3 linked regions of the Bombyx mori genome follow. Each later gene encodes a partner of the first gene's protein in a complex. Links are inferred from orthologs where the notes say so. Each region holds a gene or a part of one and is shown on either strand. Other genes may lie near its edges.

Region 1 (4,190 bases):
GTTTCATTAAAATTTCGACCGTCCAAGCGCTGTAATCAATTTATTTCCAAATTACTTTTGTAGAAGAGTCTTAGGTTATATTCTATTAGTTTCAACTTACATGTCCTTGAGATACGATCTTTTGTATGAAATTCTTTTCACAATTCGATAAACAAGTATCACGCATTTTGTTATTGGTTCATATTTTTTTGTGAATATTCTGTTTAAAGAGGCATACCTAGCAATAAATGTGTGATTATTTTTCTTAGGTTATCTGTTAAACTTTTTTTTTAATTCCACTTGTTCAATTAAACAGGCAAAGGGAATATAGCCTAAAGAACTAAACCAAATGAAAGTCACACCTTTAACTGTTTAATTTAAATTAGCTGTGATTAAATTAAAATGACCTGTCATATTGTGAAAATTTATTGAAACTTCAAAGGAATTATTGTGGATTATGGAATTACTCTACAGCAACTGGTGGCGTTTGCTACATATAGAAATGTACTAGGTACTTCCAAAACCTTTTTGGAAGACCTCGAAAAGTCACGTCCACAGATTTTGTTTCACTTTTTATATAGGTACGTTAACAGATACTAAATTTGAAGCGACATCGAACTGTGAAAATGATACAATTCTGATCATGCGCTCTTCGGCTCCTGGTTAATCCAACCTAGATAAGTCTCGACCTCAGATCTTAATTAATACTTAAAACTTCACGAGAACTGCGTATATTTCACGAGGAGCGTAACAACGTTCCGGAGAGATCCGTACTGTGCTACGGCTCGGACAAATGTAAATATTATAAATATTATATAATAATACTTAAAATGTATATATTAAAAATTTTAATTCTATGATTGATAAAAATTACATTTTGTTCGAACTCTAGAGTAGCACAGGAGCTCAAGTAATATCTGGGGCACAGGTGAACAGATAGGCAGGTACGTAAGCGGCTGACACAAACACAAACTATATAGGCACAAGCTAAGATATGAATAACAACACCTGGGATATGGGCAGAGCTCGAAATTCAAATTGTATTCTATAAACATCTTTCAAACCACCAAACCCCATTAATGTTTTACTGCTAAAATAAATAATATAATTATTTTACTTACCAGTGCTCTCTTACATATTCGATGTGAGCTTAATGTCCCAATTAATACGCAAACTACATTTTTTTGCGTAGATAGGTGAACGAGCTCACGGCCCCACAACCAACCCAGGGAACGCCAGTTAACGATCATAGGTCAGTTTGGTATGATACCTACTAAAAAACACTTAACCATTCTCCGTTGAACCATCCTTAGACAACCTTTACAACACCCATGGGATGAGATGGGGCGGTGCTGCTATTCTATGACACCGCACATACACCGATTTTTGAATTGTAATCTTATTTATGTTAAAATGAACTGCGTAATGTAAAGGTAAATAACCACCGTATTAAATTTTCTAATGGTTTTCTAATGTAAATCATAAGGCATTTGACATAGCATTGACAGAACGCGTGCTGCAAATATGGTAAAAGAGGATGTAAAAAAACTGAATATCGTTTAAAACAAATGCTTCGGTCGGAATTAGGTATATTGATAACATAGATACTTAAGAGCATGTAAAGAATGAATTTGACAGTTTACAGAAAATCGTTGTTTTGCGGACCAATGAACGCCACTACATTTAGTTGCCCACTGAGTTTCTCGCCGGATCTTCTCAGCGGGTCGCGTTTTACAACCGGTGCTACCTAGATTCTGCGAAGCACAGCTCTTGCTAGGGCCAGTGTTGGCAACACTCCCGGCTTGAGCACCGTGAGCCCACCTACACCCTACACGTTAGAGTGAAGCTGAAATAGCCTCTAAAGCTATCACATAGATAGGAAAAAAATACATTCGTTGGTTTCCGGAAATGGGCCAGATTTTTGACTCATATCCAGCAAAACAATAACTGCTTTCAAATGACGTTCTTTGGAGCAACAAAAGTTATTCAGGAAAATTTTATGCCAACTTTCAAGGTAAAGTAATATTGATAAACAATGGACTTTTATCAGCACGTGTCTGATGCAAAATACGTTTGCAAGTTCCGATTGAAGCGGCGTATCAATTGAAAGAGCGTAAAGTAAGTTTGAAGCTCTATGAATTGCCAGAGGCAGCCAGAAGTGAGTGTATTTAAAAAAGTTGATATGGTAATGGCAGTGCTCACAAAGTAGTTTGAGAGCCACGTGGTAGAGCATTATGGATTACCCAATACAATATATTACGTCGTTTTCTCAGGTTCAGATTTGTATAAATGAAAATTCAATAAAATCAATAATAAATAAATTGTAGTATCCGAAGCGAAGCGAGGGCAGGTCGCTAGTCGACTATTAAAATCACACAGCTATTGATTTCGAGTAGAAATATTCAGTCTAGCAAACATAAGGAAGATGCTACCTATCGCAATCTATCTATAGCTAATTTCTGAGTTTATACTGGTCACTATTTTCGGCACATTCTGTTAGGAGTAATGTAAAATTCGGAGAAATTGATTTAGTTGATCCACTGCATGGGAGATCTTCGGCATGATCTTGTACTATCCGCTCTTCGTTGCCCTATGTAGCTTTTTATTGAGTTATTACCTCGTCACGAAATATATCTATATATGCAAAATATCCTATGTCCTGGATGACTATACATACAAATCACAGGTTTCTGCTCGCGTGGTATACGGATCCTTTAGAATGTAGACCTAAGTTTACGGAGAGGCTTTGGTTATGTATTTTTTACCACGCGACCAGCTTTGGAAAACACACCTCACTACACCCAAGAGAAATAAAAAAATGAAAACACGTACAACTCGTACAGTGAGTGCCTTTTATAGAATCACTTACTCCGCGGACCACGGAATAGATAAATAAGGTTATATATAAATATATAAATAACCTTATTTATTATTATATATTTATATATAACCTTATATATAAATATATAATATTTATATATAAGGTTATATATAAAAATATTATATTTATATATATATTTATATATATATATAAATATTATATATTTATATATATATAAATATATAATATTTATATATATAAATATTATATATTTATATTTATATATATATAATATTTATATATATAAATATATATAAATATATATATATATAAATAAGGTTATAAATAAGGTTATATATAACCTTATTTATATATAAATAAGGTTGTATATAAATATATAAATAACCTTATTTATCTATTCCGTGCCGCGGACAATCCAACTCAAGGGTAAAAAACTCTTCTCCACAATATTCTCCGTTAGCATATAGAATTGTTATGTCCATAAGCTACAGTAGCCCTTTTTGCGAGGTGCTCCTTGTACAATCGTGCTATAATTTGACATAACAAAAAAAAAAAAAAACAAAAAAAAATCTTATATATTACATAAACTAACAACCTAGTTTTATATGTAGGTACCTACCACAAATGTGATCACATATGACTATCACCCTAGTAATCAGTTATGCCGACATGCCATTAATGTACTATTGATCATTTTGTAAGAACGAAAACATGAAAGCTTTATGTGGATGATACCTTATAAAAAAACTATATTATTTTGTATTTTGATTGAAGAACCTTTATAGGATGATTTTAGTATTGAAATTTTCTAGTTGCGGCTTTAAGCAGGTGGCCTCTTTGAATTAAAATCGAATCTGCATGGACAATATTCCATTATTGTTTTTTCAAACAAAAACGTTTATATTTTTAATATTGTTGAATTTCTGTATTTTATATAATCTTGTAGCACTAAAAATTGTTAAATTGTTAAAGTAAAAGCTTTTTTAATTTTTTTAATCGCTTAGGTGGGTGGACGAGCTCACAGCCCACCTGATGTTAAGTGGTTACTGGAGCCCATAGACATCTACAAAGTAAATGCGCCACCCACCTTGAGATGTAAGTTCTAAGGTCTCAGTATAGTTACAATGTCTACTCCACCCTTGAAACCGAAACGCATTACTGCTTCACGGCAGAAATAGGCAGGGCAGTGGCACCTACCCGTGCGGACTCACAAGAGGTCCTAGTACCTATATGTATATGCTTTGCTACGGCGTTACAAAAGAAGGCAACCTTATTTACTACTTTGTTAACGACTTACAAAAATGATGTACTGGAAACTTCACAAACCATAGTATTTGCACCAAATTGGCTCGATAAAAAAACGATCGAG
Region 2 (3,594 bases), on another chromosome or scaffold:
AAATTATAATTTTGCGGGTTTGATTTTTATTACACGATGTTATACCTCCACCTTGGGAGTCAATCGTGAACATTTGTTGAGTACGTATTTCATTAGTAAAATTGGTACCCGCCTGGGATTCGAAACACCGGTGCATCGCTCAACACGAATGCACCGGATGTCTTATCCTATAAGCCAAGACGATGTTAGCTGTGAGTGTTTTGAGTTAATAATATAAATAAGGTTCAAAAATCATTTATTTCAACTTAGATGTCAGTATAACATAGATTTTCACGAACCATATCGTAGCACTAACAATAATCAGTAATTAATTATGTAGATAAAATATATTATTATGGCTAGTAAGATTTTACGAAAATAAGTGAGAATATTTTGCATCATCCAAGTCGATTATGATATTTTAGTAGATGAAATAATAGAGGAAAAACAAATACTGGTGGTAGTGGTGGTGGTACCCTCTTCCTTACTAACGTTTTTTCCGTGGTAGGGAGACGAGCACACGTTCCACCTGGTAAGTAGTCAAAGTAGTAAAGTGGAAAGCCAGCAACGCCATTGCTTACTGCAACAATATTTTTTAATTATTTAGACGAGTGAGAGACGAGACAAAGTCCAGGCCCATCTGGTATTAAGTGGTCACTAGAGCCCATAGACATTTTTTGATTCAATTTTTCCTTATTAGGAAAGGCAAGGGGATCTAAACCCATACAGCCTTGTGTGTTGTATATAATTTCTAAAATGAATTTTCAAAAAAGCCGAAGCCAGGTCTTATATGATTTATATTATATCCTGAAATAAAAAAATCATTAAGGCAGAAGCCAAGTCCTTTATAATTTCTTTCTGAAATAAAACCCAGAGACATCGTAACCTTAATGCCACTATCGATCCCTAGATATGAGTTTTAAGTCTCAGTATTAAAGTACAACAGCTGCCCCATCCTTCATACAGAAATGCATTACTGCTTCGTGACAGAATAATTGAATAGGCAGAGTACTGGTATTTGCTTGTGCTGGCTCACACCACCAATGAATGATCTACAGTAAATCCACATTAGTTCCAGTAGTACCAGTCGACAACGCAAATATTTTTATTATTCTTGGTTTACAAGGTCCTCGCACCTAAGGGGCACGTGGAGAAAAGCTTACCTGAGATCAAAATGTAAATAGCCCAACGTGGGTCTCGAATGACGACTCTGAGATTATGAGTCTCATGCTCTGACTGAGTTATCCGGGATTTTACAAAGGGAATGTCACATCTCAACAATTTAAATAAAAATTGATTTCGTTGCGTTGTACGTTTCATGGAAGAAATGTCACCCTCTATTACGAAATGATTAAGCTCTATAAACTTTGTTTCTTTTACTTAATTAATCAAAGAACGAACAAAAAAACATTTGCACTTTTGTATAATCTATGATTTCACTACGCGATTAAAAAAAAGATCATAACCATAGATTATACACCTAATTTATTTGAGAATCTTATCTTCGCTAGAAGTAATAGTGTTCTGTGATCTTAACTTATGTACATAACAAATAACAAACTGTAACTGGAATTAATAAACAACACAGTTCAACACACTATTATAAGACAGTTTACAATTAAAGACACGTTTTAGCTGTGACGAAAATAATCTAACCGAACTTTAAGTTGTAGTTCAAGTTAAATTGTAAATTCTAACCTCTACTACATTATGAATTTGGAAGAAAAAATAAAAGAAATAGGTTCAATATGTATTCCTGGAATGCGACTGAGTTTATCAAACAAAGACAACGTATCAGGGCCGGGAACCTATGAATTGAAAGGATATATTTATGCGGCTTTAGCTGGAATCTTGAAAACAGAAGAGGATGAAAACACCAAAGTAAATAACGTTACAGTCTTTGTATAAGCTGCCACTGATTGCTAAAACGATTTTATTGCAACCGTCATCCGTGCCTCTTTAATTGTGACTTAAAATGCCCATAAATATGCTCTGCAAAACACTACATTACCATGGACGAAGATAGGTACTGTAGCTTAACAGGTATATCATATGGAATTTACTGCCTGTAGAAGACACTTATGGACACTCGGTTTTATGGTCTTTAGTTTAGGCTTGCTCACTATTTCAAGCAGACGCTTCTTTTAGCAGCAGAATATTTTTTTATGCAATAGCAGATGAAATTCTAAATTCACCCCAGAATTCTATTTCAACAAAATAGAAAATGAAACAAATGAAAAAACCTATAAATTAAACTAATGATTGAAAATTTTTTAGGCTAATATAATTTCAGTAGAAAGTTCAAGAACACCAAGTGTTTTACCCAACACAGGTGACATAGTAACCGCAAAAGTAACAGTTGTAAATCCAAGAACTGTACAATGCCTAATCCTCTGTGTTGGCCCTTCAGTACTTGTTAGAATGTACAAAGGAATATTAAAAAAAGAAGATATAAAGGCAACAGAGAAAGACAGAGTTGATCCATATAAATGTTTTAGACCTGGAGATATTATACTAGCTAGAGTTGTATCCTTTACAATATTATAAACTTGTTAGTATTCAAAAAACCTTTTCACTTTTAATAATGACTTACTCTTTGTTTGTATTTGACTCATTAGATGGGTCTTTACATTATGTACTAACCTTATAGTTTGCCTACCACATGAAACACTTGAGCATTGTGGGATTTTGGAGTCACATTTGCTTAGAAATTATGATTATACTGCAAAATAGAATGCAGTTTTGGTTTTGTATAACATCAAACTCTATGTCTACTCAAGCTTGAAAAATACATCTATTATATTCACTGAATATTAAATAATATATAATCATTTTCCTAAACTGGAATTCAGTTACCAATGACGGAAATCCACTGGTACCAATTATCGACTGCAGAAAATGAACTGGGAGTTGTTATCGCTACAGCTGAAGGATCACCGCAAGGGGTCAGCATGGTACCAATAAGCTGGTCAGAGATGCAGTGCCCTAAAACTCTAGTCAAAGAACCAAGGAAAGTTGCTAGAGTTATACCGGAAAATATTAATCAATCACTCTTTCCAGTTCATTCAAAGCAAGACAATCATCACACTGATAAATAATTTTTATTTCAATTACAGACATGTTTTATTTTATTAAATTTTAGGCAAACAATGTATTCATAAAAAATTATATTAACTCTAATCTATTTCTGAAACTTGGAATGTTGATTATGAGAGTAAAACTATTACCAAAGTCAAGGGTTAAAAATTTTTGCTGACTGTTGAATACTCGCAAACTCTGGGTATTAATTTGGCTGTAACCAAGCACATTGGTTTTAGTCTAAGGTAGTACCCCTGAACACCAGCTGTACCGCTTCGGCGGCCTTGTTAACATATTCGTTTTTCTGGGTTACTCCCACGGACTGCATTCTTCAAGCAGCAACAAAACATAATAACTAAAAGTTTAAGTGTACTTTTTTCACCTTGAAGGATTGACATCATGTAATAAAAATCAAACCTGTAAAAATTTTAATTTCCATAATAATTGGTTTTCATTTCCATTGGCTTATTTTTTCCTGAAGCGTTAGGTAATGAGTTACAGTTGTACAGACTGTAAGGACACATGTCTTAAGAAAGG
Region 3 (2,586 bases), on another chromosome or scaffold:
TATTATGTATATATTGTGGCTTTGTTCAAATTTAATATGAAATGTATTTATGTCATAAGTATTGGAATGCTACATGTCCTGAATACATGTCCATAGCAGTTTTCATTATGTATTGAGATTTCAAAATTAGATTAGCATTTGCCAAAATAAAATTTCCATCACTGTTTTAGTTTTGTTTCCTTTACGGGATCTGCTTGTAGTCTACATATATGCAAAATGTCAATTGAACATTAGTCAGGTTCTCTCATTGAATTTTTTTCTCAATTCGACTGGGTATCCGTAAATGGATTCCCTAGGGGGTTCTCTCATTTATGTTCAATCTGAGAGCTGACTTCCTTTCACCACTAGAAATTGAACATGTGAAAATTCTGTATGATATTATAACTTTATAAATGTTTTCCTTTCAAATGGTTTTTCTGGGACCCAGAACATGAAACCTTTAAATTTTCTTAATTGAAGATTTTCTAAATGATTTAAGTTTCTTAAAAAGAAAACAAATTTCTTTAATAAGGTTTTTCATTTATTTTAGCTTACATGACCTGCGAGTAAAACTGCTATGTTCTTACACATACTTTTAATTTCATCGTTACTCAAATATTCTGAGCCCAAAATCGCGTTTCCTAGAGCCAATGTCTCTCTCATAGTGTTTGCTTTGATCCAAATCCTTCCATTCATGCCAGCTGCTAATTCAAATGGCCATTCGTTCTTTAATGAGTTCAATAATGGACAATGTGGGTTTAATATTTTTCTGATTAAATTCAAAGAGCATTTGAATACGAATCCTTCTTCTAATACTCCTAGTCGGCCTTTTTTTCCATGCGAATCAACGCACACAAGCTCTGGTTCCATATCTTTGCTTGCGTTTAACATTTTCGCGTACACAACATCGCCTGTTTTGATTGCGGGACGGTTTTTCTTCGTCGCTCCTTCGAACGACAGATATGACAGCGATGCGGCACAACTCCCCCCGACGTCCACACGGAAAATATCGCCCGCTTTCTGTACCACGGTACCGATCACATTTTCACCTCTAGAAGGCACATAGCGCTTCTGATAATTGTCCACCCAGTATGTATTTGGTGTTCGTTTCCGTAATACGCCTGGTTTTGTTATAAAAACACCGTTAATTTCTTTGCGAAGTCCAGGACCTAGTAGAACTTTTCCTTTTTCGCCAGCCGCCACGATCTCTGGACAGTGATCTCCAGGTAAAACTACATCATCTATTGAAACGTTCATGATATTTTTGTTCTATTTTAGTGAGAATTATAAATGAACACACAAATAAATACAAAGCCCTAACCTCTAAAACAGCAATGTTTATTTGATTTGATTGGTCCATCCAATAGGCAAAGAAAACATAGCGCATAGGTACCTACCAGTTAAATCTTATGCATTTAATTGTTGTATGAAAAATGAAATTTAGGCGAAGGAAATAAAATTAAGTAATGATAACATTAAATGTGTTGAGCCGAAACCAGTACCCATGTATGTAATTCTGATATCCATTGAAATAATGCTGACTTTAGGTTCCATCACAGAATACCATAATATGTCTAGGAAAGCTGCGTAATCATAGTCAAATAAACTAACTTCACTTCATTTCATTCATCCACATCATTTTCTATAGAAATATACCACAATATTTAAAAGATAGTATATGGTCTGATACTTTTGCCTTTCTAGATGAAAAAATACAACTATTGCTATTACTTTGACACTTTTGACAGTTGACTAACTCGCAGTGCCTAGAGGTTTGCACATGTTCGCTGTTTACATATCACCGAAAAACTAATTCGGAGTATTAGTTATATTAAAATGCCCGCAGTAATTGAAAATGACGTAATAAAATACAAGGGCAGCAATTACTTTCGTCAAAGATTGCTACTTTCGACTCTCAGTGGGCGTGCTATTAAAATAGAAGACATTCGCAGTACCAACGATGACCCGGGTCTTCGGGAATATGAAGTCAGTTTAATTCGGCTACTGGATAAAGTGACGAACGGTACTAGAGTCGAGCTGAGCGAAACCGGTACTTCAGTATATTACCAGCCTGGTATACTGATTGGTGGACAAGTTAATCACAACTGTTGTACCCAGAGAGGGATAGGTAAGTGGTCTTCAATAAAGTTTCTACTCACGTCAAATACGTTATTAGGAATGTAGTTTTCTAAATTAGAAGATTATATATTAGTTTGATTACAGCTGGAAATTCAGACAATTCAGCATACACATTCTCCTGATAGCTAAAAGCATGGAGAGTCTAGTTCAGTGGAGCAAGGCATGGACATAATAAATATTGTTAATATATACTATAGGATGGGATAATAAATCTTTTGTCAGGCATGCAACCGTCTAGGAGAGTCCAGTTTAAATACTAAAATAAGTTTTGACAGAGTGAGGACGCCTTGGTTGTTTTTGAAAGTAGTTTTAGTGACATCAGCTTGACTGATGTAACTATCTAAACTAAATCAAACCATACCATGGTCTGAACATTAACTCAGCATTTAAATACTTCCTGTTATGTTCATCCTCGGACTGACAAATTGAAATTAAAAAATAACCTTTTTAGGTTATTATCTTGAAGTT

Evidence for each region. Proteins that work in one complex are often made in the same cells at the same time.
Region 2: exosome complex component RRP45 (region 1) and exosome complex component CSL4 share a complex: the UniProt entries of both Homo sapiens proteins name them as parts of the RNA exosome core complex. The link is inferred for Bombyx mori from reciprocal best matches to the Homo sapiens genes EXOSC9 and EXOSC1.
Region 3: exosome complex component RRP45 (region 1) and Rrp40 share a complex: the UniProt entries of both Homo sapiens proteins name them as parts of the RNA exosome core complex. The link is inferred for Bombyx mori from reciprocal best matches to the Homo sapiens genes EXOSC9 and EXOSC3.

What each region holds. Positions count from the first base shown.
Region 1 is NC_085119.1:13,155,632-13,159,821, forward strand, and holds the start of exosome complex component RRP45, read right to left. Parts: upstream 2,808-4,190; 5' UTR 2,771-2,807; intron 2,692-2,770; 5' UTR 2,657-2,691; intron 1,565-2,656; exon of another isoform or gene 1,496-1,564; 5' UTR 1,101-1,495; intron 924-1,100; exon of another isoform or gene 872-923; intron 775-871; exon of another isoform or gene 684-774; intron 561-683; exon of another isoform or gene 330-560; intron 218-329; 5' UTR 167-217; coding exon 101-166; intron 30-100; coding exon 1-29. UniProt on the Homo sapiens protein: Non-catalytic component of the RNA exosome complex which has 3'->5' exoribonuclease activity and participates in a multitude of cellular RNA processing and degradation events.
Region 2 is NC_085132.1:3,512,775-3,516,368, forward strand, and holds exosome complex component CSL4, read left to right. Parts: upstream 1-1,328; 5' UTR 1,329-1,689; coding exon 1,690-1,860; intron 1,861-2,256; coding exon 2,257-2,505; intron 2,506-2,831; coding exon 2,832-3,077; 3' UTR 3,078-3,092; downstream 3,093-3,594. UniProt on the Homo sapiens protein: Non-catalytic component of the RNA exosome complex which has 3'->5' exoribonuclease activity and participates in a multitude of cellular RNA processing and degradation events.
Region 3 is NC_085114.1:14,716,202-14,718,787, reverse strand, and holds Rrp40 (exosome complex exonuclease Rrp40), read right to left. Parts: upstream 1,316-2,586; 5' UTR 1,237-1,315; coding exon 526-1,236; 3' UTR 503-525; downstream 1-502. Other genes in the region: probable RNA 3'-terminal phosphate cyclase-like protein, read left to right, coding at 1,816-2,107, 2,570-2,586. UniProt on the Homo sapiens protein: Non-catalytic component of the RNA exosome complex which has 3'->5' exoribonuclease activity and participates in a multitude of cellular RNA processing and degradation events.